Linked DNA regions of Mus musculus. The protein of the gene in region 1 binds, or shares a complex with, the protein of each later gene. Links are inferred from orthologs where the notes say so. Each region holds a gene or a part of one and is shown in the gene's direction. Other genes may lie near its edges. The genes, in order: Rbl2, Tfdp1, Lin54, E2f4, Ogt, Mybl1 and Mybl2.

What was found.
Region 2: Rbl2 (region 1) and Tfdp1 share a complex: the UniProt entries of both Homo sapiens proteins name them as parts of the DREAM complex. The link is inferred for Mus musculus from reciprocal best matches to the Homo sapiens genes RBL2 and TFDP1.
Region 3: Rbl2 (region 1) and Lin54 share a complex: the UniProt entries of both Homo sapiens proteins name them as parts of the DREAM complex. The link is inferred for Mus musculus from reciprocal best matches to the Homo sapiens genes RBL2 and LIN54.
Region 4: Rbl2 (region 1) and E2f4 share a complex: the UniProt entries of both Homo sapiens proteins name them as parts of the DREAM complex. The link is inferred for Mus musculus from reciprocal best matches to the Homo sapiens genes RBL2 and E2F4.
Region 5: the proteins of Rbl2 (region 1) and Ogt are in contact, whole or in part, in a crystal structure (PDB 4XI9), measured with the Homo sapiens proteins. The link is inferred for Mus musculus from reciprocal best matches to the Homo sapiens genes RBL2 and OGT. Residues at the interface, in NP_001310537.1 of Homo sapiens: Thr417, Pro418, Val419, Ser420, Thr421, Ala422; in NP_858058.1 of Homo sapiens: His506, His508, His509, Asn567, His568, Pro569, Tyr642, Thr643, Lys644, Gln849, Phe878, Val905, Ala906.
Region 6: Rbl2 (region 1) and Mybl1 share a complex: the UniProt entries of both Homo sapiens proteins name them as parts of the DREAM complex. The link is inferred for Mus musculus from reciprocal best matches to the Homo sapiens genes RBL2 and MYBL1.
Region 7: Rbl2 (region 1) and Mybl2 share a complex: the UniProt entries of both Homo sapiens proteins name them as parts of the DREAM complex. The link is inferred for Mus musculus from reciprocal best matches to the Homo sapiens genes RBL2 and MYBL2.

What each region holds. Positions count from the first base shown.
Region 1 is NC_000074.6:91,068,465-91,072,939, forward strand, and holds the start of Rbl2 (retinoblastoma-like protein 2), read left to right. Parts: upstream 1-1,592; 5' UTR 1,593-1,711; coding exon 1,712-1,942; intron 1,943-4,475. UniProt on the Homo sapiens protein: Key regulator of entry into cell division. Directly involved in heterochromatin formation by maintaining overall chromatin structure and, in particular, that of constitutive heterochromatin by stabilizing histone methylation.
Region 2 is NC_000074.6:13,337,065-13,341,593, forward strand, and holds the start of Tfdp1 (transcription factor Dp-1), read left to right. Parts: upstream 1-1,686; 5' UTR 1,687-1,742; exon of another isoform or gene 1,743-1,856; intron 1,857-1,877; exon of another isoform or gene 1,878-2,376; intron 2,377-2,600; 5' UTR 2,601-2,663; coding exon 2,664-2,675; intron 2,676-4,529. UniProt on the Homo sapiens protein: Can stimulate E2F-dependent transcription.
Region 3 is NC_000071.6:100,452,061-100,455,842, reverse strand, and holds part of Lin54 (protein lin-54 homolog), read left to right. Parts: intron 1-1,334; coding exon 1,335-1,408; intron 1,409-1,705; coding exon 1,706-1,903; intron 1,904-2,750; coding exon 2,751-2,842; intron 2,843-3,499; coding exon 3,500-3,571; intron 3,572-3,782. UniProt on the Homo sapiens protein: Component of the DREAM complex, a multiprotein complex that can both act as a transcription activator or repressor depending on the context. In G0 phase, the complex binds to more than 800 promoters and is required for repression of E2F target genes.
Region 4 is NC_000074.6:105,303,201-105,306,086, forward strand, and holds the end of E2f4 (transcription factor E2F4), read left to right. Parts: intron 1-984; coding exon 985-1,032; intron 1,033-1,232; coding exon 1,233-1,277; intron 1,278-1,372; coding exon 1,373-1,488; 3' UTR 1,489-2,170; downstream 2,171-2,886. Other genes in the region: Elmo3 (engulfment and cell motility protein 3), read left to right, coding at 2,552-2,629, 2,767-2,807. UniProt on the Homo sapiens protein: Transcription activator that binds DNA cooperatively with DP proteins through the E2 recognition site, 5'-TTTC[CG]CGC-3' found in the promoter region of a number of genes whose products are involved in cell cycle regulation or in DNA replication.
Region 5 is NC_000086.7:101,667,550-101,671,331, forward strand, and holds part of Ogt (UDP-N-acetylglucosamine--peptide N-acetylglucosaminyltransferase 110 kDa subunit), read left to right. Parts: coding exon 1-68; intron 69-430; coding exon 431-610; intron 611-2,207; coding exon 2,208-2,366; intron 2,367-2,481; coding exon 2,482-2,571; intron 2,572-3,782. UniProt on the Homo sapiens protein: Catalyzes the transfer of a single N-acetylglucosamine from UDP-GlcNAc to a serine or threonine residue in cytoplasmic and nuclear proteins resulting in their modification with a beta-linked N-acetylglucosamine (O-GlcNAc).
Region 6 is NC_000067.6:9,686,676-9,690,457, reverse strand, and holds part of Mybl1 (myb-related protein A), read left to right. Parts: intron 1-284; coding exon 285-377; intron 378-2,676; coding exon 2,677-2,897; intron 2,898-3,782. UniProt on the Homo sapiens protein: Transcription factor that specifically recognizes the sequence 5'-YAAC[GT]G-3'.
Region 7 is NC_000068.7:163,071,520-163,075,301, forward strand, and holds part of Mybl2 (myb-related protein B), read left to right. Parts: intron 1-1,104; coding exon 1,105-1,395; intron 1,396-2,862; coding exon 2,863-3,285; intron 3,286-3,782. UniProt on the Homo sapiens protein: Transcription factor involved in the regulation of cell survival, proliferation, and differentiation. Transactivates the expression of the CLU gene.

The sequences.
Region 1 (4,475 bases):
TAGAACAGCCTCAAGTGTTATTTCCCAGGCCCCTCTCTTTTTCAGATCCTGCCTCTCACTGGCCAGCAAGTGAGACTCTCCTCAGGACTCCACCAGCTTATGTTCTCCCCCCCCCCCGCCCCCCTCCACCCCCCCCCACCCCTCCACCTCCCCACACACCTCCACGCCCCCCCCACCCCACCCCCCGCTGCTGAGATTACAAGCCAACCCTCCATTCCTGGCTTTTAACACCTGCTCCCGCAACACATGTGAGTTATACAGGTTGATCTCAGGTGAGGGATTTTTTTTTTGCCACTGAGAATCTCCCCAGCCCTTTTCAATCAATGTGTTTATCTCCACTAGATTCTCTTCACCACTTAAGCCCATGCAATGTGCCTTAAAAGTTTCTTTTCCGTGAGCAAATTCTTTGAAATTCCCTTCATATCTAAGCTTAGTTAGAGATTCGGTAGCTTTAACACCTCAAATCATAAATATAGGAAAGTTTCAAGCCCGGGGACAAAAGGCTGAGGTGCCTATTTAACATATCAAAGAGGACCTGGCTGCTCTGTTCTCCTGGTAGCCCTCAACCTCTACCTGTTACCATAGCCAGCCCCCTACCCAAAACTCTCCAGCTCAAGGGGTGGGCTGTGCTTTCCTATATAATCCAGACATTTTAGTTTCTAGCTCGGTGTACCTTTGGGCCTTCTAGCTGCTGCACCTGGTTCCCCTCTCTCCCCTCTCTCCCTTCACCTCCCGCGCCCCCTCCCCGCACTCTCCTCCCTCAGGTGGCTCAGGGTCATGTCCACTCTGGACTCACTCAGATGTCCCTGCTCTACGCTCTTCCTTTTATCTGTAAGAAACTTTAGCCGTATCTAGGAGCAGTTATGTGATAGCTAATATACATTTTAAGTTATTCTTGAAAACACATTCATGATTATTTGTGTGATTGAGGGTTGAGGGTTGAGGGTTTTTTATTTTGTTTTTGTTTGGTGAAGTGAGATCAATTCTTAGCTCAATATACCTTTGCCATTGATAGCGTTGACATAGGAGTGTCACTTGAGGAATCCTCTCTGTTGGATTGACCTGTGGGTCTTGCCTAGGGAGGTGGCGGCCGCGGGGGTGGCGTTGTATTAAGAAAGTAGCTGATAAAGCAACGGGGAGCTAAGTCAGTAAGCAGCGTCCTGCTTTAACCTCCGTCAATGATGAACTGTAAAGACTAAAATGAAATAAGCCCTTTCCTCTCCGAGTTGGTTACAGTCCGTGTTTATCTCAGCAACAGAGACTAGAAAGGGCAGGCAAACTATTATCTTTACTTTGGACCTTTTAGCTTTACTATCTGAGGACCTCTAGGTGAGGATGTGTGTAAAGGGCTTATATACTAAATCCTGTCGATATTTCTTGGTCTTTTTCTCTTCAAACGAGCCTTCTGAATGGTCTCACTATTGAGAGATGCTTTTTAAAACGGTAGAGGACGTGTCCATTCACCCCTAAATGATGCACAGCTCGTTTTTTGCTTTCTTCTTCCATGACTTTTGGTCTCCCTGAGATCCCGGCCGAGACTACATTTCCCAGCAGGCCGTGCTCAGACCTACGGGTGCCCGCATGGGACTGAGGAACTTTGGGGGCGGCACAGTAGCAGGACAGGCTGCTGACGGGCCGGCGCTTCGCGGTTTGAATGGCTGCGGGCCCGGGCCCTGAGCGCATCTGAAGAGCCGCGGCCTCGGGGTGCGCCATGGCATCTGGAGGCAACCAGTCGCCACCGCCTCCTCCAGCTGCTGCAGCCAGCTCGGAGGAAGAGGAGGAGGATGGCGACGCCGCGGATCGCGCGCAGCCCGCGGGGTCCCCGAGCCATCAGATCCAGCAGCGGTTCGAGGAGCTGTGCAGCCGCCTCAACATGGACGAGGCGGCGCGCGCCGAGGCCTGGAGCAGCTACCGCAGCATGAGCGAGAGCTACACGCTGGAGGTGCGTGCTCAGATCCTCCGTGGAGATCGGGGACTCGGGGTGGCCCTAGGATCACTTGGTCGTTTGCCCCGCACCATTGCCTCCCCCTGGCTTTGCGGCCGTCAGAGGAAACTCATTAAGTTTCAGGCTTGCTTACGTGTGAGAATGGCTTAGGATTTATTGTCCCCCACCCCCCGGGCAGATGAAAAGCGGGTGTAGACACACAACATTTGTTGCTGAACTTGGGCACTCTTTTTGGCTGTCATCCAGGTGTAGGCTTGTTATGTTCCGTTCTTGGGACGGGGCTTTGCAGTTGACGAAAATGGCTATTCGGGCTAGTGCCTGTCAACTCTGCAGGCACCTCCCCTGTATGGGCCAATGGGAAGTGACACGGAAGTCCGGATTGTTTTTCAGCTGCCTGTGCGTATGACCCTTTGATTTTATATATGGAAGCTTATCGAAGTAGCAGAGCAAAGAGGCCCCCGACCCGAAGGCTAAGCAAGGTGTTATTTAACTATGATATGGATGTACTTGTGCCATTCTTCTGAGTCGGTTTATTTCTATTTTTTTAAAAATCGACACACATCGAATTCCCCTCTCTCCATTTGTTACACTCACAAAAAAAAGAAACATGGCAGCTTTAGACCTGTGTCTGAGTGACTCTGGACAAGTTTTTAACCACAGTGAAACTCAGTTATGTTGTGTGAGCAGTTTTGTTACTTGTGCCCACTTCAAAGTGCTTACCTAAAGCTTAACTAAAGCAATGTGTGTATGTGTGCAGAAAATTTCCTAGACTGAAGCAGTCTGGCTGAAGAGACCGTAGCCGCCTTCCTTACCCAGTGTTTCCGATAGCCAGGCAAAGAGGAGAACTTCTGGTTTGAAGGACACAAATACTCCCAAACGAATTCTTACTTCACCTTAGAGATGACGCTGTAAATTAGCAAGAATGAGTATTATAACATAGCAGAGACTTCAAATCACAGACTAAGTCATATGAAGCCTGGTGTCACATATGCAAGTGGCATTTAACAGATGCTTAGTAAATTAGTGTGTGTGTGTGTGTGTGTGTGTGTGTGTGTGTGTGTGTGTGTGTGTGTTGGTCAGAGGACGGCTTTGGGGAGTCAGTCTATCTTTTCACCCGTGGATCACTGCAAGTCTGTTAAATCTGTTGGTCAGCTAGTGCCTTTACCTGCTCAGCCTTGCCAGCTCGACTAGTAAATCGTTTTGAAAACATAGTCACTATTTCTTGTTTGGCTGAGGCGTTCTATTTATTTGTTTGTTTATTATTTATGTCTTATTTGGATTGGTTAGTGAGGTTTTAATCTCGATTCTTAGCCCAGTTGACCCTTGCCATAGCTTCAGTTGTCAACTTGACACACCTGGGAATGGGGAGGCCTCATCTGAGGAGTCACCTCCATCAGATGGATGGTGGGCATGCCTGTGGGGCATGGAGGTGGGCATGCCTGTGGGGCATGCTCTATCATCAGATGGACGGTGGGCATGCTCTATCATCAGATGGATGGTGGGCATGCCTGTGGGGCATGCTCTTAGTTGCTAATTGATGTCGCCCACAGTGGGCTATGCTGCCCCTCCTGGTCCTGGACTGTATAAGGGAGGCCTCATTAGCTGTTTCAGCTCTTGCCTCCCAGTTCCTGCCTGGAGCTCCCAATGATAGCCTGTAACCCTTTCCTCCCCAAGTTGCTTTTAGTCATGGTGTCTATCTTAGCACATCTAGGACAGCCCTATACTGGCACGAATACTTGTTCATTTTGGAGTATTTCCTGAGCCCCTATCTCTTGCCATAGGTTTTCTAGGTACTGGGAAGAAAGCAGTGGGTGAAACCTAAAACTCCCTGATGCATGAGTTTCCGGTCAGGAATACTGGAGAATAAGTAATGTAGACCAGCAGTTGTCTGAAAACATACAGAGGAAATAAAGCACACTTGATCATTAATACTTACCATCTGCTTTAGAATTCTCTCAACTGTTTTCCTGAAATCGATTTGAAAATTTTATTTTATGCAAATAAATGCTTTGCCCACATGTATGACTATGTACCAAAATGCAGGCTTGGAACCTAAAGAGGTCAGAAGAGGGTGTCAGAGCCCCTGGATCTGGCATTATTCGGTGAAGTGCCACCACATGGGTACTGGGAACGAAAACAGAGACCTCTGGGAGAGCAGTCACTGCTCTTAACCACTGAGCCATCTCTCCAGCCCCATATTCTGAATTCTTGTAGTTTATTTAATTCTCACTGTTGTCAATGAAGAAAATGAAACCTCTGGACTTAAGTAGTTTGCCCATGGTGAGCTCTCTAATATGTGGCCAAGGCAGATCTACTTGAGTTCCATGGCCATGGACTGTGAATTAGAAATATCTCTTCTCCCCACTTCCACCCATTTTTTTTTTGTTTGTTTGTTTGGGTTTGGTTTGGGTTTTTTGGGGGGGAGCGAAGGAGGGGAGTTATATGAGACAGGGTGTCATCTAGTACAGCCTGGCCTTGAACTTGCTGAGGGTGTAGCTGAGAATAACCTTGAACGTCAGATCCTCAAGCC
Region 2 (4,529 bases), about 78 Mb from region 1:
GAAAAGGTGAGTCAAATAGCTTGTTTATATAGTCAGAAATGGGGTGTGGGAAGGATGTTTGCACCAGTCACAGTCTTTCTGCTTGGCCAGTAGAGATGCTTCCCTCCCCCTCCCCCTGAACCCCTCATCCCCCAACCCCAAATTCTGGGTGAAAACTGCTACTAGAGCTTACCAGAGCTTGTGATGGCAAAGAGTCTAGTGCAAGCTATTGACACACTCATGCCTTGGGTATTTCTGGTGCAAGCTATTGACACACTCATGCCTTGGGTATTTCTGGTGCAAGCTATTGACACACTCATGCCTTGGGTATTTCTGGTGCAAGCTATTGACACACTCATGCCTGGGTATCGCCTCTTCTGCTTCAGCAATAAGCAGCTGTGGTTGCAGGGCTGCTTCCTCAAAGCCGCTGAGCAGTGTTCAAACAGGACAGCTGCTGGCGGACAGTTCGGCCAGATGCTAAAGAAGGGCTGTTGGGCTGAGTCATGGGACTGAGGCAGCCAGGTAACGGAGAAAGATCTGTCAGTTTGGGAGTCAAATTGACCTTTCCTCCAGAATAAAATCCGGTCACTCACATTAACAGTTTTCTGATAGTACTTAACTTTGCCCTGCTCTTCAGTCCCATATTCTTGGGAAACGTTGTGTCATTTTATCTGAACCATTTGGACTGATTTGTGAGCCCCAGCCTATTCTCCTCCCAGGCTCTCCAGCTTTAGTCTTAAAGAAGTGGCCTCTAAGATGGACTGAGTCTTCAAGGCTCAGGGTCTACCAGACCCCTCTTGGGATGAAGCAGAAGGTTTCTGAAGTGAAAGGCGCAAATGCATACACACCTGATTAACAGGCTGTTTCCTGCCCTGAATCACTGACAGCCCAGGCTCAGGGCATGTGGCTGTGGAGGTCAGTAGTTGAGCAGAGGTGGGGGATCTTGTCTCTGTATTGTTCAGTATGCATCCGAACAGTCTTTACTTTGTTCTGTGTAAATGAACAAGATTCTTCTCCCTGTGTGCACATGCAGGTACTTTAAAGCACTCTCAGAACTGACCTCTTTTTTCTCATGTGTACACACACGCCTGCTTTTTTTCAGTGCGCAGACATTAACATAGGTTTCCATATGTTTGCACAGAGGGTTCTCTTCTGTATATATGTTCAGGCGTGCACACACGACTGATACTCCATGTACACACACGTGTATACAGTCAGACTCTGCATATCCACAGGTGTGCACACACATGATCCTTTCCCTACGTGTGCATGCAGGTATGGCACACACCACATTCTTTTCACCGTTGGCGCGCGTGGTACACGCGCACACACAGAGCCAAACACGTGGCCCTCTACTCCCTGCGCATGCACACAGATATGCATACAGTTGGCCCTTGGTGTACACACACACACACATACACACACACACACACACACACACACACACACACACACACACACACAGAGGCGCGCACACACGTGGCCTCTCTCCGAGCGCACATGGAGACGCGCGCAGCGCTGTTCGGCGTCGGCGGTCTCCAGCCGGGTCCCGCCGCACGCGCACGCGCGCGCAGGCCCCGCCCCTCTCCCAGGGCGGGTAGCACCGGCGAGAGGCGCGGGAGATGAGCGGCGGGAGGAGGAGGAGGAGGAGGAGGGCGCCGAAGGCGCGAAAAGGCGCGCAGGCGCGCTGCGCGCAGCGGGCCCGCCGCCGCCCACGTCACCGCGCCGCGCGCACGTCACGCCGGCCCGACGCTCGGCCCAGGGTGAGCCCGCGTCCCGGCGCCGCTGGCTCAGGGCAGGGACCGCCAGGGCCGGACCTCCGGGCCGGCGCCTCCGCGCCCCCGTCGTCCGCCCCGCGCGCCCCGCCGGCCAGCCAGGTGTGGCGGGGGCACCGGCCGGTCGCGGCGGGAGGGCGCAGGCTGGGCGCGCGGCCCCGTTCCCGCCCCAGCCCGGTTCCCGCGTCCGGTCGCATCCCGCCCGCCGCCCAGCCTCAGCTGGAGTCGGCCTCGACGCGGCGTGGCGTGGGCGGCGGGCAGGGGTCCTGGCCACCCTCCGGCTCTGTCCGCGCCAGGGCGCGGGGCTGGTGGCTGGGCCTAGTGACAGGTGGGGCGAGCGGGCGGGCGGCCGGGAGCCCACCTGTCAGAGTGGTCGGCGGCCCCTCGGGGTCTTGGGCAGCCCGGGGTGGGGGGTGCCCGCCGCGGCCCGGGCGGAGCCACGCAGTGTCGTGTGCCCAAGTGGGGGGCCTTGTGCCTCGGCGGGGCCTGTGGTCAGGCGGGGCCCGCGTGCCCAGGTGGGGTGAGCCTGACGGCTGCGCGTCGCTCAGCCAAGGGTCCGGGGTCTGGCCCCGCTGCCGGTGGGAGCTGCTGGTGCCCGCAGGGAGCATTTCCATTTAGAGAGGTGACTTAAAATCCCCGTGTGGGACCTGCTTGGCTAGCTCTCCTGTCGGGATTGTGCAAGAAAGGCCCCTGCTGCCTGGAGGCCTGCCTCTGCCTCGTGCTGGTGGGGAGATGTTTCCTTTGAAATGCGATGTGCGTTAAATTTCTTCTCATTCTCATTCATTATTCATCCCCTCCCTTTTTTTCTTTTCTTTCTTTCTTTCTTTTTTTTTTTTTTTTAACCAGATAAGTACGGTTTCTTCTGTGGAGGGTACGCAGTTAAAGCCTTGATTTCCTGGATCTGGTAACATGGCAAAAGATGTAAGTATGGTCGCTGCATGCTGCAGACATGTTGGCACAGCTCGTTGCAGTTTTCTCCCTTTATTTGAGAGTGGCCATACGTGTGTGGCAGTGGGTTGGCCAAGACATTTTACAGGCAGGAGCTGGGATGGAGATGAGGGATGATGGCGAGAGTCGTTAGGTGGGTGTCTCCCCTCTGCACAAATGGTCTTTGTCATCCGAAGCGTGACACGTTTTTTTTTTCTTTTTTGTTTTTTTTTTCGTGGTTTGATGATGATGTCTTGATTTTTTTTTCTTTATCTAAACTGCTTAAATAAAATAAAAAAATTAATACATCTCTCAGTTATGAGTGTGTGAGAGGGTGTTGTTTGTTAGTGGGTTTCCACACAGGAGAGCTGTCAACATGGAACTTACACTGTACTAGTTTTATGTAGTACGTAAGACCGTAATCCAGCTTTGATGGATTGAATCCCAACTACTTGTTTGGGCACATTTTTCTCAGAAAGATGACATTTGGTGATTAATGAAACACCGTGGAAATGCTGGTTGGTTTAGCTTCATATTTATCACGAAGCTACCGAGCGTTTTGAAGTTTTTTTGGGAAACAGGTATGGACAATTAGGTTTTAAGGCTGTAAATACAGTCTGTATTGTTGGTCACATACATACATTTTTGCAGTATTGCTTTAACTCCCTCCAACACTGATCGTGTCCGTTCCAGTGTTCCTCAGTGTCCACTGTTCTGTGACTGTTAGATTCATGCCTTTTCTGTGCAGCCCTGGAAATGCAGGCAGACATGCCGCATCAGCTAGAGTTGTGCCCAGGTGTAGCGGAACCGTGGTGCAGGTGCGGAGTCCTGTCCTGACTGGCCCGCATGGAACAGACCCTCTTCTGGTCATCGAGCACCGGACCTGCTCCTGGGGGCCGGGGGGGGGGGGGGGTCATGTCTCACCCTGAGAGACCTTGTGTAGGTCACCTGAAGTCACAACTACATATGGCACTGGCTTGATCTCGTTATATCTGTTGTCTATGTACATCCATGTCCTGACTCCGTCCCCACGAGTGCCCTAATGAGAGACATGCCACCCAGCGCATGCCTACAAAGTAGCTAGATTTGGTGAATGGGTGTAAACGGGGTGCTGGCTCCCGTGCCTTTGTGAGGCCACATGGCATGGTGTAGTTTCACTGAGTCAGCATACTCAAGCCCAGTCATCTTAGTTTGTCATTATACACTCCTGTGTGCAGTGTCCCCTGGGGAGGCAAGTGGTCAGGAGCTCCTGTCCGGCTGCCGGTTTGGGGTTAGCCATTGTGGTGTGGCTAGGCCAGTGCTGTGACTGGGTATCAGAATGCTGCAGCTTAGTCCCCCAACAAGTGCGCACAGACATAGGCAGAGGTGAAGTGGCGCTCCCTGTTTTCTTGCAGACAGTCAAGGGTTGGGTCTTCTCTGTAGCCAACTGTGTTTTTAAGTAGGATGTGATGTTTGGGTTCGGAAAGGGACTTTGTAACTTATGCTGAAGGGAAAGAAAGAGGCACCATTGAAGTGTTCTAAGCACTTGATGCTTAAGTGAAATCTGGTTGTAAAGGGTCCTGTAGACATGTGGCTCTGAAGGCCATGACACTGGTGAGAACAGACAAAAGTCACGCTTGAGGTCACAGAAGAGGGGCAGGAAGGGCAGACAGAAGACAAATAACTTAGGGTTTTTCTGCCCCTGCTGGTGCCCAGGCAGACCAGCAGGTAAGTTGGGCTCACTGTGAACCGGGGCTGTGAAGCCGGGCAGGCAGTTGTCAGTGGACAGGATGGGGATGGCAGGAGCTGGCACGGAGCAGTGGAGTGGGGGTGAGTGCCTGCAGATACTCTGGGGCGCACCTGCAGTGC
Region 3 (3,782 bases), on another chromosome or scaffold:
TTTATTTATTTATTATATGTAAGTACATTGTAGCTGTCTTCAGACACTCCAGAAGAGGGAGTCAGATCTCGTTACGGATGGTTGTGAGCCACCATGTGGTTGTTGGGATTTGAACTCTGGACCTTCGGAAGAGCAGTCGGGTGCTCTTACCCACTGAGCCATCTCAGCAGCCCTAGAAGTCTTTTTTTAAGACCTGTTTTTTTCTTTTATTTGGGTACTTGCCTAATCTGTTCAAGAGTATAATCTTGAGAGCAAGAGCTTTAATCTTGAGTCTCCTGGGGTACCCTGCCCTTAGTAGCATTTATACAGTAGCAGGGTTACAGTAATAGCAGTAGTGAATTTACTACTCACATCACATGCAAAGAGCCTACACACTTAAAAGTGGCAGAGCTGGGTCTTGAACCACTGGGTCTTTTGACTTTAGAACTTACTTTTTCATTATTAGTAAGTGTGTGCATTCATGTGAGTATGTGTTCATGTGCATATATGCTCATATGTGCATGTGTATATGCATGTGTGTGCACATGTCTATATGTGACTGCTCATGTATATGTAAGTTCATGGGTGTTATGTATGTGCACATGTGTGCACATGCATGTCTGTGTGTGTGCATGTGTGGTGTGTTCACATGCATGTGTGTCAGTGTTGTGGGAGTTGGCTTTTTTCTTCAACCACGTAAATTTCAGGGATTAAATTCTGTGCACTTGCTGAGTGAGCCATCTTCCCAGCTCAAGAACTCAGACTCTTAGCCTTTTTGCCCTGCTGTCTTTTTTAAATACCTAGTTGTTCCAGCATGATCTTTTTTCTAGCGTAAAGAAAAACACAGAAAGTAAAAGTAGTAGCACAGAATGGTGTGCTTAGCTGAACTTGTAAATGCAGTGCATTTGTTTTCGGTTTTGTATGCGGCTCTGAGCACAGGTTGAGGGATTTCAGTGGGAAGCTTTGAGCCTGCAGATAGTCCCTCCCCTGGGGGGTTTCTCACCTCAGATTCATATTGCTGGGGGGAATAACAACTGTGACAGGTAACTACTCCCTTTTGTTGTTGGTGGTGTTTTTCTTTATTGTTGTTGTTGTTTTGGTTTGGTTTTTATTGTAGCCTGGGCAGGCCTGGAACTCATTATGTAAGTCAGGCTGGCCTCCCAACTCACAGAGATCCATGGATCTTGCCTCTGCCTCTCAAGAAAGGTAACTAACTGTCTTTGATTAAAGATGCGCAAAGTGAGAATCAGGTGGGATGCTCTAAGCTGGTTCCTAAGCATAGCTTGAAGGATAAGGATTCTTAAGTGTTTTCAGTACTGTTTTTTGTAAATATTATTATTTATTTTTTTTTAAAGCAAAACCAGTGGTTGTTAATACCACCCCTGTACGGATGTCAGTTCCATTTGTCCAAGCTCAGGCCGTTAAGCAAGTGAGTATTGTGTAGCTTCTCCATTTTTTTTTCCCAAAGGGCAATTTACTTTTTAGTTATAAGAAGCTGGGCATGGTGACACATTCATTTAATCCCAGCACTTGGGAAGCAGAGACAGGCAGATCTCTGAGTCAGACTTGGCCAGCCTGGTCTACAGAGCCAGTTTCAGGACAGCCAAGGCCATCTAGAGAAACTCTGTTTTGAAAAGCTAGAAAATAATTTGTATACTGGATTAAGCTCCCATAAAATTAATGGTTTGTATTATTTAGTCACAAATTTTCTTTTTTTTTTTTTAAGGTTGTTCCAAAACCAATCAATTCAACTTCACAAATTGTAACTACCAGCCAGCCACAGCAGCGGCTCATCATGCCTGCCACACCACTGCCTCAGATCCAGCCCAACCTCACTAACCTGCCACCAGGTACTGTGCTGGCACCAGCTCCAGGAACAGGGAATGTGGGCTATGCAGTGCTTCCAGCTCAGTATGTTACTCAGGTACGTGGGGGTGAAGGGCCTATGCTTTGGAGCTGCTGTTTGCCCTTAGAGTGTCTAACTCTACCACGTTCTAAGTACAATATAAACATCAGCTCTGTATTAAAATGGCTCTTTCTAAAGTGTTATATTAATTGAACATCTGAATTTATTTTTGTTTAGAATTTAGAGATATGTAGCAGAAATAAGATTTAAAAGTTGGGTAGTTTGGAATAGTTTGGTGATAGGGCAAGACTATAGATAAGCATTTTACAAAGTTGACATTAAAAATCAGAATCCCGGTGATTTTAGGAAAGACTGTGCACACACTAACGTTCATCTGCACACACAGATATGATGCTACTGGCTTGTGCTGGAAAGTAGTTTGTAAGGTACATTTCTTGGGGACTTTTTGAGACAGGATGACACTTTAGTATAGGGCAGCATGGAGCTGACCATGCCTCTGCCTTGGGGGCTGGAAGGGTGAGCGAGAACCACGGCTCTCAGCCAGGGGACCACGATGCTTCCTGAGTTCACATAGCAGTGCAGAGTGGATAGGAGCTGTGTGTGGGCCCGGTGCATTTCTCACTTGAGAGATGTTATTTTGGTATTGGAGGATGTTCACCTAGAATTTCCTATAACCCTGACATTGTCCTTTGTGAGGTAGTCTTTTTATATCTGTACCATTCAATGCTGTTAGACATTCATGCTATTTCACTAGTGTTGGTTGAGGTCTTTAAAAACACGCCATCAAGTTTATATGAAATTCCCCATTGCTTTTTATCTTTGGGTAGTCATGCTTCTTACATATTGTTATGTCTGAGAGTGCTATCAATTTTGCAAATATTAACTTATTTTTTTTTCCTAATAGTTACAGCAGTCTTCATATGTGTCTATAGCAAGCAACTCTAATTTTACTGGAACATCTGGCATCCAGACACAGGCAAGGCTTCCATTCAATGGGTGAGTATTTTGAAAATATGTAAATTGAATTATTAAGTCAGTTTAAGTGCAGCATTAAATAGATTTATTTGAAATATATTCCATTTGTTTTTCCCTTTAAAGCTGTGCATTTGTCTAAAGCACTCTATTTTGAGATAGTTGAAATGGACAAGTTTAGAGACCATCAGCAATGGATTCCCTCCTGTCCTTTGCCAGCTTTTCTGTGTTTCTCCGCTCGCTGTGAATGTTTGTAAAACGGTGTTTAGTGCTGTTCTTCACGTGTTGAGTGTTGGCTCCATGTTATTGTTTGGCAGCTCTTGGCTGCCTTTGCTCTGTTGGTCTGTGACCCGTGCTGAGTTAACCAGCCCATTTGGTCCCACTGCCCGTTCTTCGCGCACCTCCTCCTCCTTCCTTCTCTCTTCGTGATGAAACCCCAGGAGCTTTTATAGCTTTTCAGCTTCAGTTCTCTCAGAGAGAAGAGGATGTGTGATGTATTCCTAGCAATTGCTGATAATATTTTTTAAAATGTAAAGGAGACATTCTAATAAAGTTTTGCCAGAAGTGGAAGCATCTATTAATGTTTTATGTTAGGCAGAATTTATAGATTGGAGGTTGTTTTACTAGTTTTAAGTAACTAATTGATTTTTTTTGTGTGTGTGTGTATGTGTGTCTGGACAGCATAATTCCATCAGAGTCTACCAGTCGGCCCAGAAAACCCTGTAACTGTACAAAATCACTGTGTTTGAAATTGTGAGTAGTTTATTACTGTCTGCTTATTTGATGCAACTACACATGTTCTTACAATTAAATGAAGCTAGTTGGGCATGGAAGTACAAGCCCAGTGGTTGTCACACTTGAAAATAGAGTCCAGAGGATGCTCTGCTCCACAGTGAGCTGGAGGTTGCCTGAGTCATGGGGGGTGGGGGTGGGGCCCTGGAGGTTGTCTGAACCACGGGGGGTG
Region 4 (2,886 bases), about 14 Mb from region 1:
AGACAAGGAAAGGGGTTGGTTGCCCTCATAAGTTACGCCACTACTGTACCAGGAGGCACATTGCCACATTGCCAGGTAGGTTGGTATTATATCGTGCATGGTCTATTGCCTGTTAACCCATTAAACCATCCTTTTCTTTCTTTCTTTCTTTCTTTTTTTTTTTTTGTGGATTTTTTTTCAAGACAGGGTTTCTCTGTGTAGCTCTGGCTGTCCTGGAACTCACTTTGTAGACCATGCTGGCCTCAAACTCAGAAATCCGCCTGCCTCTGCCTCCCAAGTGCTGGGATTAAAGGCGTGCACCACCACCGCCCAGCCATCCTTTTCTTTATTCTCAGAAATGGAATGACTCAGCAATGCAGTCCTGATTGGTATTTCTCAGTGTTTAAATACAGCTCAGTGGTAAAGTGCTTGCTAAGCATGAATGAGGACATGTCGCCAGCAACGACAGGAAGCGCTGGGGATGGAGAGTGATGCATGTGCATTCCTGCCCCCAAGATGTTCCAGGGATTGGCATTAGGATGTCAGTGTTCCAGACAAGCATTTGTGCCTGATGCCTTATTTCATTGTCGTCTACCCCCCCCCCCCGAAACTTTAAAACATTTCGTGTGTGTGTGTGTGTGTGTGTGTGTGTGTGTGTGTGTGTGTGTGTAAATGTGTAAATGCTGTGTTGTGTACGGGCAGTGTTGGATTCCCCTGGAGCTGGAATTAGACGTGGTTGTGAGACAGGGCATCCATCTTGTGTAAGACAAGATGTGCACTGCTGGCTCAGAAAGGGGGTTCTACAGTGCCTCTGAGAATAGCTGGATGTGTCACCTGCACTAGACCTTTGGTAGCCTTGGCTCAGCATCGAAGAATGTAGGTCAGCGGATAAAAACCTGAGGAATGTGTAGAGCCCTGGAGCCTAGTGGTGTACGACGTGAAGCAAGCTGAACTATAGTAGAACTCAGCTGAGCTTCCTGTGAGCTTGGCTTTCTTCTCTTTCAGTTCTGGATCTCCCCAAAGAGCTGTCAGAAATCTTCGACCCCACGAGAGGTAGGCGGTGTTCCTCCTTTTGATTGGATGCAGGGCATAAGGAGCATAGTTTGAGTTCTGGGTTCCCTTCTAAGGGTATCTGCTGGGTATCCCAGAAAAAGGGTGAGGTTCCTAATGGGCCTGTGTGGGGGTCTCATTCCTGGGCTTTGGTGGGTGGAGGCGCAAGAGCCAGAATCTGAATGAATTGTGTTCATTCCCAGAGTGCATGAGCTCCGAGCTGCTGGAAGAACTGATGTCTTCAGAAGGTGGGTAGCCCAGGAAGATAAGGGTAGCTGTGAGCAAGGGGGTGGGTGACTGCTGGGGGTCTTGGCCTAAGACCTCAGCCTAATGCTTTCTGCAGTGTTTGCCCCCCTCCTCCGACTTTCTCCACCTCCCGGAGACCACGATTACATCTACAACCTGGACGAGAGTGAAGGTGTCTGTGATCTCTTTGATGTTCCTGTTCTCAAACTCTGACTGACAGGGACATGTCCTGTGCAGCTGCAACCCAGACTGTCTGGGCCTGGAGCCAACTAGGGACTGCCCCCCACCCCCACCCTAACCCCAAGAGCCCAACTCTTGGCTTACTCAGCCTTTTCTGGTCGCTCAGTTCGGGCTGTGCTCTCCTGTCTTGCACTGGCACTTGTGACTGTGCTAGCATAGCTGGGCAGAGAGCTTAGCCCTCTCTACATGGAGCCTTCCCCAGCCAGGCTCAGCTGCCCCTCAGTGGCACCTCTGCCTTGTTCCTACCAGTCACTATGAAGGAGGTTCAGAGAGAGGGTGGTGCTGGGTGGTTGCCTACCATCACCTTTCCTTTCCCACCTGCTCACCCTGCAGCCTCTGGACATCTCGGATGCTCCCTGAGAGTCCTGGGATCTCTGGGCAGTCATGGTGGAGGGGGTTAATAAGGAATTGCTGTGTCTAGCTAGGAGTCTGGGAGGGTTGGTACCTAAGAATGGCTCCAGCTCCTGCCCACCCACCCCCATCTCCCTTCACTTCCACTTATTCACTTACCCTCATTTAGAGCCATTGCAGAGATTTAGAAAGATTTACAGTAACGAATGAATTCCTATATAAAGATTATTTTTATACTTTTTTCAACAAAAGGAAATGTAATATTTGTACAGCATTCAAGTGAATAAAGACATGCCTAAGGCTATCTCTGATCTGGTTCTTTGGGGCCCCTACCTGGGACGCTGGATTGTTGCTGAGACTGGGTGGGTCACCTTACTGGAATGGGAGGTGTGGCTGCTGTGTAGGAAGCCTGCTGCCACAGCCTCTACCTGCTGCACCTTGGTGTGGGGCGGGGCCAGGCAGGCCTCTACGGGGCGGAGCAGGGCAGGGCAGGCGGGGTCTTACCCTCCTACCCCTGAGATTAACCCGGAACTAACAGGCTCCTTTGGGAAGGCCTCGGAGCCCGATCAGGAGTGGGAACCTGGGCTGTGAGTGCAGGCTACAAGTCCTAGACCCTAGACCGGGTGCACTCTCGGCGGGAGGTGGCACATTAGTGCCAAGTGCCAGCGGCCACCGCGGCTGGACTATGGCGCCCCCGCGGAATGTGGTGAAGATTGCTGTTCAGATGTCTGACGCCATCCCACAGCTTATCCAGCTAGACCAGGTCAATGGGACTGTCCAAACTCCGCCTCTCGCTTCTGGGTTGTTCCTTTTCCCTCTGGCCAGCCCAGCCCACCCCTCCCAGAAGTCCCTCACCCCAACTCTTTACCGTCGCAACTTGAGTGACAACTCCACTTACAGGCAAAGCCCCTGGCCACTGTACTGAAGGAGGTGTGTGACGCGTAAGTGCTGTGCCGCAAGCCTGGGCAAAGTGGGGGAGGGGCAGGTGGGAGAGGCGCTCCTGGACGTCCCTGGCAGCTT
Region 5 (3,782 bases), on another chromosome or scaffold:
ACCGCACAGCTCTGAAACTTAAGCCTGACTTTCCTGATGCTTATTGTAACTTGGCTCATTGCCTACAGGTAAAGAATAAATGGTCCATTATTTTTCTTTCTGCAACGTCACCATTTTTTAATTGTGTGTCATAATAATCTAGGCCTGTTTAGAGACAAGACAGTGTTTTCATTTTTATTTTTTATTTTATTTTTATTTTTTTGGGGCAACTGGCAGTCATAGGGCAGCTTTTAGGAGTCATTTCTTTTAGCACCTGGGTCCTAGGCATTGGACTCGTTGTCAGGTACGCAAGGTACGCCTTTTCTCAGCGAGCCAGCCGCAAGACCATGCTTGTAGGAGATTGCCTAATACTACTCTAGGAGCTCAAATACTTGTAAAATAAATCTTTGGGTAGGTTTTTTGGGTGATAATTTCTTTTTGCTTCCTCTAGATTGTCTGTGATTGGACAGACTATGATGAGCGGATGAAGAAATTGGTTAGTATTGTAGCTGAGCAGCTAGAGAAGAATAGACTGCCTTCTGTCCATCCTCACCATAGCATGCTGTACCCTCTTTCCCATGGCTTCAGGAAGGCTATTGCAGAGAGGCATGGGAATCTCTGCTTGGATAAGGTGACTCCTGTTTTAATCTTTTTGTTATAAACTAAAATGCAGATAGAGAAAAACATTGTATAAATTAAATGTATGGCTTTACCAGCTAGAAATGAAACTGTCTTAGCTGCCCTTGAAGCTACTCTTCACTGTGGCTTCACTGTGGCCTGACTGCAGCGCAGTTCTTCGTTTCTAATGGTAGTGTTTTCCTTTAAGGTGGAAATTTAGGCTAGGCATAGTGGCACAAACCTATCCCAGTACTTCTGTAATCTCAAAACTTAGAGGCAGAGGATGGTGAATTGAGGCCAGCCTAGGCTACATAGCATACATAGCTCCTGCCTCCAAACCACAACCAAGCAGAAACTTCCCATCTAAAAAGCAAGCTAAGAAGCCAGGTGTGGTGGCGCACGCCTTTATTCCCAGCACTCGGGAGGCGGAGGCAGGAGGATTTCTGAGTTCGAGGCCAGCCTGGTCTACAAAGTGAGTTCCAGGACAGCCAGGGCTACACAGAGAAAACCTGTCTCAGGGAGGAAAAAAAAAGGCAAGCTAAAGGCAAGGACAACAAAAGTCCTACATGGTGCTTAAATAGAGCATGTGAGAATTAGAACACGACTTTAGAAGTTTAGAGTTTAGAACCTGCTCCAGGAAGGAAACAGTGGTAGATTCTCTGTCTCTTTCCCCCCCCCCCTCTCCCTCCTCCCTCTTTCCTTCTTTCTCCCTCCCTCCTTCCTCTCCCCCCCCCAAAAAATGCTTCTCCACAGAATTTCCTAAAATACGGTAAGGGTTTTCCTACTCCATTCACATTTCTTTCTTCCTAGAACTGTGAGATCTGTTCAGGCTGTTTCATAGGTCTCAGTACAGGTTATGTATGAAGCATGCACACTGTGCAGCTGCCACAGAACTGCTGACCTAAACTGCTAAGGTGACATCAAACTGGCCACATGAACTAAATGAAGTTTGCTATCCAAAGTTTTTTTCATAGGTGTGGGTTTATATGGTTGTTTTAATGTTTAATTTCTGAGTGCTCTGCTGCATATAAAATACATCTATAGGCCAGAAGAGGGCATCGGATCCCATTACAGATGGTTGTGAGCCACCATATGGTTGCTGGGAATTGAACTCAGGACCTCTGGAAGAGCAATCAGTGCTCTTAACAGCTGAGACAGCTCCCCAGCTCTCCAATTTTAGATTTGTCATCATTTGTTTTAGCTTTGTTTGGGATAGGTTTCATGTATGCCAGGTTAGCTTTAAATTCTCTGAGGATCACCTCGAACCTCAGATCCTTTATATTTCTACCTCACAATTACAGGGTCTCAGGGGTGCACCAACATGCTCATGTAGTTTTTGTCGTTGTTGTTTTGTCTCACTACATGATACTGGATGGCTGGTAACCCAGTGTGTAGGCTCAGCGATCCATATGCCTCAGCCTCCTGAGGGTTGGGATACCATATGCCTGCTTTTCATGTGGTTCTGGCATCAGAACCACTAGGACTTTATATGTGCTAGGCAAAGCGCACTACCAACTGCGCTTCATCACCAGTCTCAGTTCTAACGGTTTTTTAGATAAAACATTTACACATGACTTGATTTTCCTAATGACCATTTATTCTGCTGCTAGATTAATGTCCTTCATAAACCACCATATGAACATCCAAAAGACTTGAAGCTCAGTGATGGCCGATTGCGTGTAGGCTATGTGAGTTCTGACTTCGGGAATCACCCTACTTCACACCTTATGCAGTCTATTCCAGGCATGCATAATCCTGATAAGTTTGAGGTAAGAATGGGTTTTTTGGTGGCTTTACCCTGTCATCTTCAGCATTAACTTCACTTCCTTTTGAGAAGGTTGGAGCAAAGGTTATTGAGCACACTGTCCCCTCCCTGCCTTTCAGGTATTCTGCTATGCCTTGAGCCCGGATGATGGTACAAACTTTCGAGTGAAGGTGATGGCGGAAGCCAATCATTTCATTGATCTTTCTCAGGTAAAACTGTGATCGTTCTGATCCTTCCATTTTTTTTTTCCCCTAAAAGATTTTTAGTTTTATATATAGAGAAACCCTGTCTAGGAAAAAACAAACAAAACAAAACAAAAACAAAACCCTACTGAATAAATAAAAGAATAAATAGTTTAAAAAGGAAATACATCTTGGGTGTTAAGAAGATGAGGATTTCTTTCAAAGAAAGCAAAGGCTATGTGAGGCCCCCATCTCATTAAAAATAAAACAACACAGTAGTAGAAAGTTGCCTTACCTATTTCTGAGAATGTTTGTGTGTTGTTGTTGTTTCTTTCTTTTTTTTCTTTTTTTTTTCTTTTTTCTTTTGGTTTTTCTGTATAGCCCTGGCTGTCCTGGAACTCACTTTATAGACCAGGCTGGCCTCGAACTCAGAAATCCTCCTGCCTCTGCCTCCTGAGTGCTGGGATTAAAGGCGTGCGCCACTACCGCCCAGCTTTGTTGTTTCTTTTTTTTTTTTTTTTTTTTAAAGATTTATTTATTTATTATATGTAAGTACACTGTAGTTGTCTTCAGATACACCAGAAGAGGGCATCAGATCTCATTACGGGTGGTTGTGAGCCACCATGTGGTTGCTGGGATTTGAACTTCGGACCTTCGGAAGAGCAGTCGGGTGCTCTTACCCACTGAGCCATCTCACCAGCCCCCAGCTTTGTTGTTTCATTCTTTTGTAGGGTGGCAGGGGGAGCATTGAGGCAGAGACTTACTATGCTCCTAACCCTGTCTGGCCTGAAATACACAATGTAGACCAGGTTGGCCTTCTGTAGTGTTCCTTTTGCTTCAGCCCTCTATAAGTTCTGAGATTGTGGTAGGTGCTACCATGCCCTTCTGGTTAGTTGTCTTTATTTCTGTGTTTGGCTCTGTTCTTTACTCTGTAAATTTTGTGATGAATTAAAGTTGAAACCTATGGGAGAATTTAATTTGCTGTAGGTTCTATTATTCACATGGGTGACAAGTAAAGAAATATACCTTTAGACATGAATATGTCTAACTAAGTATGCATATATTTGCATGTAAACACATGTATAAATAAGTCACTGGATTGGGGACATAGTTAATGTAGTATAGTGCTTTCCTATTATACATGAAACCCTGGATTTGCTTTGTAGCACTGTATAAACTGGGTGTTATGGCTCATACCTATAATCTCAGCATTTTTAGAGGTGGAGGCAGAGACAGTG
Region 6 (3,782 bases), on another chromosome or scaffold:
TTAATTTTTTATGGACTATGTCTTGCTGCTTGCTGTATTATAAGGATAGTATAGAGGTACATGTCTTAATTTCAAATATGTTGTTTTTAATTTGTAGCCTAAACCTATGATTAATTGAAAGAGCAGAATTGGGATTTTAGGCATGTAAAATAAGCATTGCATATAATAGTTTGATATTGAATATTTTTTTGACTAATATTTGTTCATATGGGTATACTTAAATTTGGGCTAATTTACTTCCTGGAGATATATAGTCAACAATAAAATTGTCCAAATTTTTTCAGAATCGTTCTGATTTTCAGTGCCAACATCGATGGCAGAAGGTTTTAAATCCAGAATTGATAAAGGGTCCTTGGACTAAGGAAGAAGATCAGAGGGTAATATATTCATATTCTTTTGAAAAAATTTATTATTTATTTGTGTATATATGTTTGGGGACATGTATGTGTGTTTATCCTTATGCCACAGCTCACATGTAGAGGTCAAAGGATAATTTGTGGGAACTAGTTCTCTCCTTCCACCCACTGTGTGGGTCTTAGAGATCAAACTTGGTCATCAGGTTTAATGCCAAGTGCCATGGAGCCATTCCTTGCTCCTTGTTCATATTCTTTATGTTCACTGTACTGATGGATTAGATTAATTTTCTTATTAACATGGTTTAACACAAAGTATGATATGTGTGTGTGTGTGTGTGTGTATGCTAAGGTTGGAGGTGGACATACATGTATTGCAAACATATGTGAGGAGGCTGGAGGACTGGTGGTGTTTCTTAAGACAGTATCATTCGGGATTTATTTTTATGACATGGGGGCTCTCATTGGTCTTAAGGTTGCCAAGTAGGAGTAGGTTGGTGGGCCTGTGAGCATTATGGATCTGCCCCATTGCTGGGATTGCATGTATATGCCATTATGCCTGGCTTTTAAAAATGTTGTTTCTGGGTATGGAATTCAGGTTTTCATGCTTGCAAGGAAAGCACTTCAGTAACTGAACCATTTTCCCCAGTGCACACTTTAAGTTTGTTGGTTCTGTTCTTTGGAGGCTATAAGCATAAGAATTGAATGTTGAATGCCTTGAAATGTAGCTTTTTCTCTCCTAGGGCAAGGATAAGTGAGACAATTTATAATAAGTACTGTCCTTTTTGAGAGCTTCATTTACAAAAGGAAAAATACTTTAAAGTTTGGCTTAGCAACATGTCAGGCATAGTTTCCTATCAAAATTTAATTAACATTAAAAATAAATTTTAATTTTATTTTCATATTTAATAACTTGATATATTAGGAAATCACTCTTAATTTTTCCTCTTGACCGTAATGAATCTCATGATTAGACAAGTATCAGGACATCATGTTTCCAGAGGGGTTGTAATAAAAACCAATTATTTGTGCAATAAAAGTTGTTGAAGAATAGAAGCATCTGCTCTCTACTAGGAATTGCTCTTTAATTCTTACCCTTAGCTTTCCTGTTGCTAAGGTGCCTGTGGAATTAGGACATCCTTATACCCATAAGAGCAAACAAACAAAAGTTACTTCATGTGGCTCAGGACTGATCTGACTTTTCTTAATGGGCGATGATAAGTTTTGAAAATGTGATCTGGGGCTAGTGAAGAGGACAGTTGTCTTCTGTCTTCTACATAGTCACTGTGGTTTGTATTTGTCTAACACTCATACTTACAAATCATAAACATGCAAATAATAATAATAAAAATGATTAAGTAAAATACAATGTGAGCTCTGTTAAAAAGATATTTAATGGCTGGATCTAGTACATTGTCTATAATTCTAGCTACTCAGTAGGTCTAGATAGGACATTCATGGCAAGTTTAAGGCCTACCTGGGTAACTTAGTGAGACCCTGTTTAAAAATCGAAATGAAGAAAAGGGCTGGGAATATAATTCATGGTAGAACACTTGTTAAACATACCTAGTACTGGGCAAAAAAGAAAAACCAAAAAGCTGTAATCAAATAATCAAAGCTGTACATTTAACCTTTAAGTCTTATTTTTTAAAAATATGACAAGTAGACACATTTCAAGAAAATTGTGATAGATGTTAAACTTAATTAATCTACCAATACAGAGTGAGCATAATTCTTTGTGATTCATGTGATACTTGACTGGGTCAGAGTAGCAGCGAAGTAGGTGGGCCAAGGAGATGAACTGTTCTTTAAATTTTAGTTAAACTAAAAGCAAACAAAATATAGGACAAATGTACAAATGTTACTTCAGTTACTTCAAATTACTTCAGAATAATTATCTATGAGTAATTAGCCCCTTGAACTTTTTGATGCATTTTGGGTATTGATTTTTGAACTCGTTGAGTGCTGAAGGATAGCTATTATTAACATTACCTTCTGTGAATTATAGTTATAGCTGAAATTTAATCCATGTTTTCTTTTTTTGGTCTTTTGAGACAGGGTTTCTCTGTGTAGCCTTGGCTGTCCTGGAACTCACTCTGTAGACCAGGCTGGCCACCACGCCTTAAGTAGAATTCTTAATTTGGAGTTTTTTTTCTCTTTTTGTTGTTGTTGTTGAGGTGCTTCAGATCAAACCTAGGACCTTGTATTGGGAATAAAAGAAAAACCAAAATGTTCCGTAATGACCCCAACCTTGACTTGTTTGAGTTACATTTTAAAATTCTTTCATAGTAATAGTTTTTCAATCTTTGATTTTGCTTCTTAGGTTATTGAATTAGTTCAGAAATATGGGCCAAAAAGGTGGTCTTTAATTGCAAAACATTTAAAAGGAAGAATAGGCAAGCAGTGCAGAGAAAGATGGCACAATCACCTGAACCCTGAAGTGAAGAAGTCTTCCTGGACAGAAGAAGAAGACAGGATCATATATGAAGCACACAAGCGCCTGGGAAACCGTTGGGCCGAGATTGCTAAGTTACTTCCTGGAAGGTGCTTACATAAATAAGTTTCTGTGCTTCAACATGACCTTGACTACCTTACTATTGAATATATTTTCAAGTATTTCCTTTCTATTATTCACAATTCAAGTTTAGTCTGCATGCTATGAGCAACCATTTGGGTACATTTGTAATTTTGTGGTAAAGAATATAATTTGTACAATAAAATGGTAAAACCTTTAAGCTTTGCAAACATTTCATCTACTCCACAAGTCATGTTTATGTGTTATTGCTGGTAAGGCAGAACTTGTACAGCTGGTGGAGTGATATCTAAATTAGAGATCTCTTTCACATACTGTGCACAAGGCCAGGGGACTACAAGTACTTTGATTGAAGTAAATTCTTGTGAATGCATGTTACGGAAACTTAGCTCTTAAGCTGTGGGAGTAGAATATGAAAGCCCATGTAGCTGAAGTGTAGTATTCTCCTCTGAAGCAGTGACTAAGTGCATTCTCCACTGTACTGTTCAGACACCTTCTGACAGCCACTAGGACTGCAGATCTTATCTTAGGCAATTTCATATCTTAACTCAGAATACATATCCTCATGCTTCATAGCTATAGTCTCTATGTAGTACTTATAGTAACTAATATGCTTTTATATGCATTCCTTAATCTTTGTATACTTTAGAAATATGTAAAGGAAACATTAATGCTTTGTTTCATAGGAAATTAAGATGCAGTATTATATTTTCTTTTGTCCAAGTTACTATCCCTGGGCTGTGAACTTCTGATATATTCAGTATTTTATGCACCTTTTTACTCTGTGTAGAACCTCACTTAGTGCTTTAACAGAGTGGGTTTCTAGTAAGTGTATATTTTATGCAGAATGAAATTTATACTACAAATAGCTTTAGGTTCATCTTTATAAAAAGAAC
Region 7 (3,782 bases), on another chromosome or scaffold:
AAGAGAGTAAAGGGGTGTATGTCTCTTCGTCCTAATTCCCCAGAGGTCTCCTCACTTCTGGCAGTGTCCTTGATTTCTGTCACAGCTTTGGGATAAAGTATGTTGTGTTTTCAGATTCTATACTGAGCACCCTGAAGAGTTTCAGGGAGCGTGCATGGAGTCTCCATCCCATTTCTAAAGGGCCTTGCTTGCCCTTGCTCCCTCCCACAGGCCTGCAACCCCAGGGCTCAGCTCAGTTAACCATTTGCCTGATCTATGCCTACTTACTGCATTGCTTCTGTGTGTCCTGTTTACTTTATCTTGGCCGGGTGCTGGGGCCCATGCCCTTAGCCCCATCACCCCAGAGGCAGAAGCTGGTCAACAAAGACAAAAGGAAAAGGAAAATCAAGACTTGACTGCATTTTGTTTTGTTTTGTTTTTCGAGACAGGGTTTCTCTGTATAGCTCTGGCTGTCCTGGAACTCACTTTGTAGACCAGGCTGGCCTTCCTGATTTGGCTTGTATTTTCTAAGATATGCTCCTGATGTGTTTATTTCTAAACCAGGGACTTCCACATTGATCCTGAACCTTGTGGAGATAATGATTCGTTTTTGTTTGTTTGCTTGCTTGCTTTAAAAGACATTTTTTAAAAAATGTGTGTGTTTGCGCTTGCGCACACATGCATGAGTGCAAACACACACATGTGGAAGTCGGAACAGAGTGTCTTCTGCCAGATGGGGCTTATGGACCAAACTCAGGTTATCAGCCCAGCTGCAAGCACCTTTACTTGCTGAGCAATTTTTAGCCCACACTGCTGTGGGGTTTACCACGCAACTTCTGGGGCAGCAGACAAGTGCTGCTGTGGCCAGCATTGATTCCAGGGCCTCTGTCTCGTCTATAGTCTGTGTTCCATTTAGTTAATGACAGTGTCATTTATGCATCAGCCTCATTGGCCTCTGTCATGATACTAATATGTTTTGAAGTGCTCAGTACAGTTGAAATGTCTCTCAATTTCTGTCCCTGTGAGTTCCTTTGATGCTTGATTTGGGTTATGTGTTTTTAGCTACAAGCTGCAGCACGGTCAATATTTCAACAAAAATCTACAGTGTGCCCTTGTATTCTACAGGGAAGTCTCGTGAGCAGCTGGCCGCTGGTGCCCTCTATTGTGAAGGAGGAGAGCAGCGAGGAGGAGATTGCCATAGCTGCTACTTCTGCTAAAGAACTCGGACATGAGCCTGTCCCTGCTGATCTGGGAGAAGTGCGCACCCCAGAGCCCCCAGAATCTCTCAAGCGTGAATACCAGGAGTTCTCCTCCCCGGAAACGAGCCTGCCCTACAAGTGGGTGGTAGAGGCGGCAAACCTCCTCATCCCGGCTGTGGGGTCCAGCCTCTCTGAAGCTCTGGACTTGATTGAGTCGGTATGTTGATCCCAGCAGGTACACAGCAGGTAACACTTCTCTTGTGAACTGCCCCTTCCCCAACCTACCATTTATTGAATGATGGGGGCTGCCCAGCTCTGAGCAGGCTGGGGACACCAGCTAGGTCATTACAATATTTACCCTCCAGCATGGAGTGGGTGAGAAGGCTTCCCAGAGATGGGCCGAATTGGTATTACAGGGTTAGATCTCACTGGAGAGGCGCCGCCAAGGGCCAGGAGTCATGGTTGCTCTGGAGCAACAAGAGGGTTTGGCTGCTCAGCCAAGGCCATGCTTGCTGCCGTGGGCCGTGCTCCCTGTGCGGCTTTTCCTGAGGAGACAAATACACACCTGTTTACCCCAGACCTGTACTGAGGACAGATGAAGGAAGCAATTGCGCACAGGTCTAACATGGCAGACTAATGAAATCCTTGGAGATACCAGCAGGATTGTGGGTGACAGGAAGATTCCTGCATGACCAGAAGAAGAGTGACAGACTCCTAAAGGCAGTCTCCCTGGAGCTTACAGCCCAACATACATGAAACCTGGGGGCAGAATCTCTTTTTCACCAGCAGTTATTTATTGCTTTATAACCCTGGGGAGGGGCCTTATGGCTCTTGTAACTTTCCTCTAGGAGGGAATGTGTCATTTCCGAGAAAATAGCTAAACAGTGACTTTGCCTGAGAGCCTGTGGGTGGAGCCACTCCTTTTGGTGTGACCTTCAGGTGTCCTTATGTCTAACTCTTCCAAGGGGAAGATCAGGGAAAGATGCACAAAACCTGCCCTCTACCCTCCCCAGCCGCCTCCCCAGGCATTGCTGCAGGACATGCTCCCTACCACCAAGATGCCTTCTGTCTCCAAGACCTCTGAGCTCTGGGGTCAGCCCAGCTGCCAGCTAGTTTCCACTTAGTAGGAATAAGCTGCCCCTGGCTCCGGCAAGTCCCCACAACCACAACTCACAACCGGGCTCTGGATCTACTTAGGGCAGCGTCTCCAGGATCAAAATGGAAGCTTCTGTTTCTAGAAAGCTTTGGGTAAAGACAGAGGACATGTGGTTCCTGTTTGTTCTTAGGGGCTTAGTTAGCGTGGGTTCCTTGATGTGAAAGTGAGCAAAGGAGCTAGTGAGACGGCTCAGGGGATAGAGAGAGGTGCCTATCACCAAGCCTGGCCATCTAAATCCAATCCTCAGGACCCACGAGCTAGGAGAGACCTAACTCCTTACACTAGCACATAAACGTATGTAATGAACCATAAACCAGCAAAGCCATGTTTTCCCAGCCGGTTGCTATGGGGACTGTAAAGCTGCTGATGGGCAAGCATCCCATTCAAGTTTCCGTATATGTAGAACACTGAAGAAATGGATGTAGACAGTAGTTAACAGTAGTGACTAAGTGGATAAGGGACCGAACTTGACACTGGTCACTTAAGTTCTGCTGTGTTAGGAGGACCTTTAACCTCCCTCTCTGGCAGGACCCTGATGCTTGGTGCGACCTGAGTAAATTTGACCTTCCTGAAGAACCCTCTACGGAGGGCAGTGTCGTCAGCAGCCCAGTGCAGCCCCAGACGTCGCAGCAGCAGCAGGAGGAGGCACTGCAGTCATCCCAGCAGGCTGCCACGCCGGGGCCCAGTGTGACTGAGTACCGCCTTGATGGCCACACTATTTCAGACCTGAGCCGGAGCAGTCGGGGGGAGCTGATCCCCATTTCTCCTAGCACTGAGTTTGGGGGCTCAGGCATTGGCACACCTCCCTCAGTGCTCAAGCGACAGAAGAAACGGCGTGTGGCCCTGTCGCCTGTCACAGAGAACAGTGCCAGCCTGTCCTTCCTGGACTCTTGTAACAGCCTCACCCCGAAGAGCACGCCTGTCAAAACCCTCCCCTTCTCTCCTTCCCAGGTGTGTGGGCACCTCTGCCTACCTCCGCTTCCATACATAAATATCTCGTGCCCAGCGAGGGCCCGGCACAGGTACACACTGGATAATCAGTGTTCACCGATTATCTCCCTGTGCCCGGTGCTCAGGTGCCCGCAGTGAGCAAACCCAGAGCTGGCCCTGCCCCCTTGGAGCTAACACTCTAGGCTGCGGGTCCAGACGAGTGGTCACATGGAGAAGGAGGAGGCTGTGGGGCTGGGAGCGGGGCTGGCTAAGGTCAGTAGTAACTCTGAAGTGAAGGACAGCCTTATTCTGGCTTCAGGTCCAAGGTATAGGCCACCAAGGCGAGGAACTCACAATGACAGGAGCTGAAAGCAGCTGGTCACACTACAGCCAGCCAAGAGGCAGACCGGTGTCCCATTCAGCTTCCTTTCCCTTTGTTACTCAGTCCAAGACCCCAGCCTATGAGCGGGCATTGCCCATATTAGGGTGGATTATCCCATCTCATTTAACTGGACCTA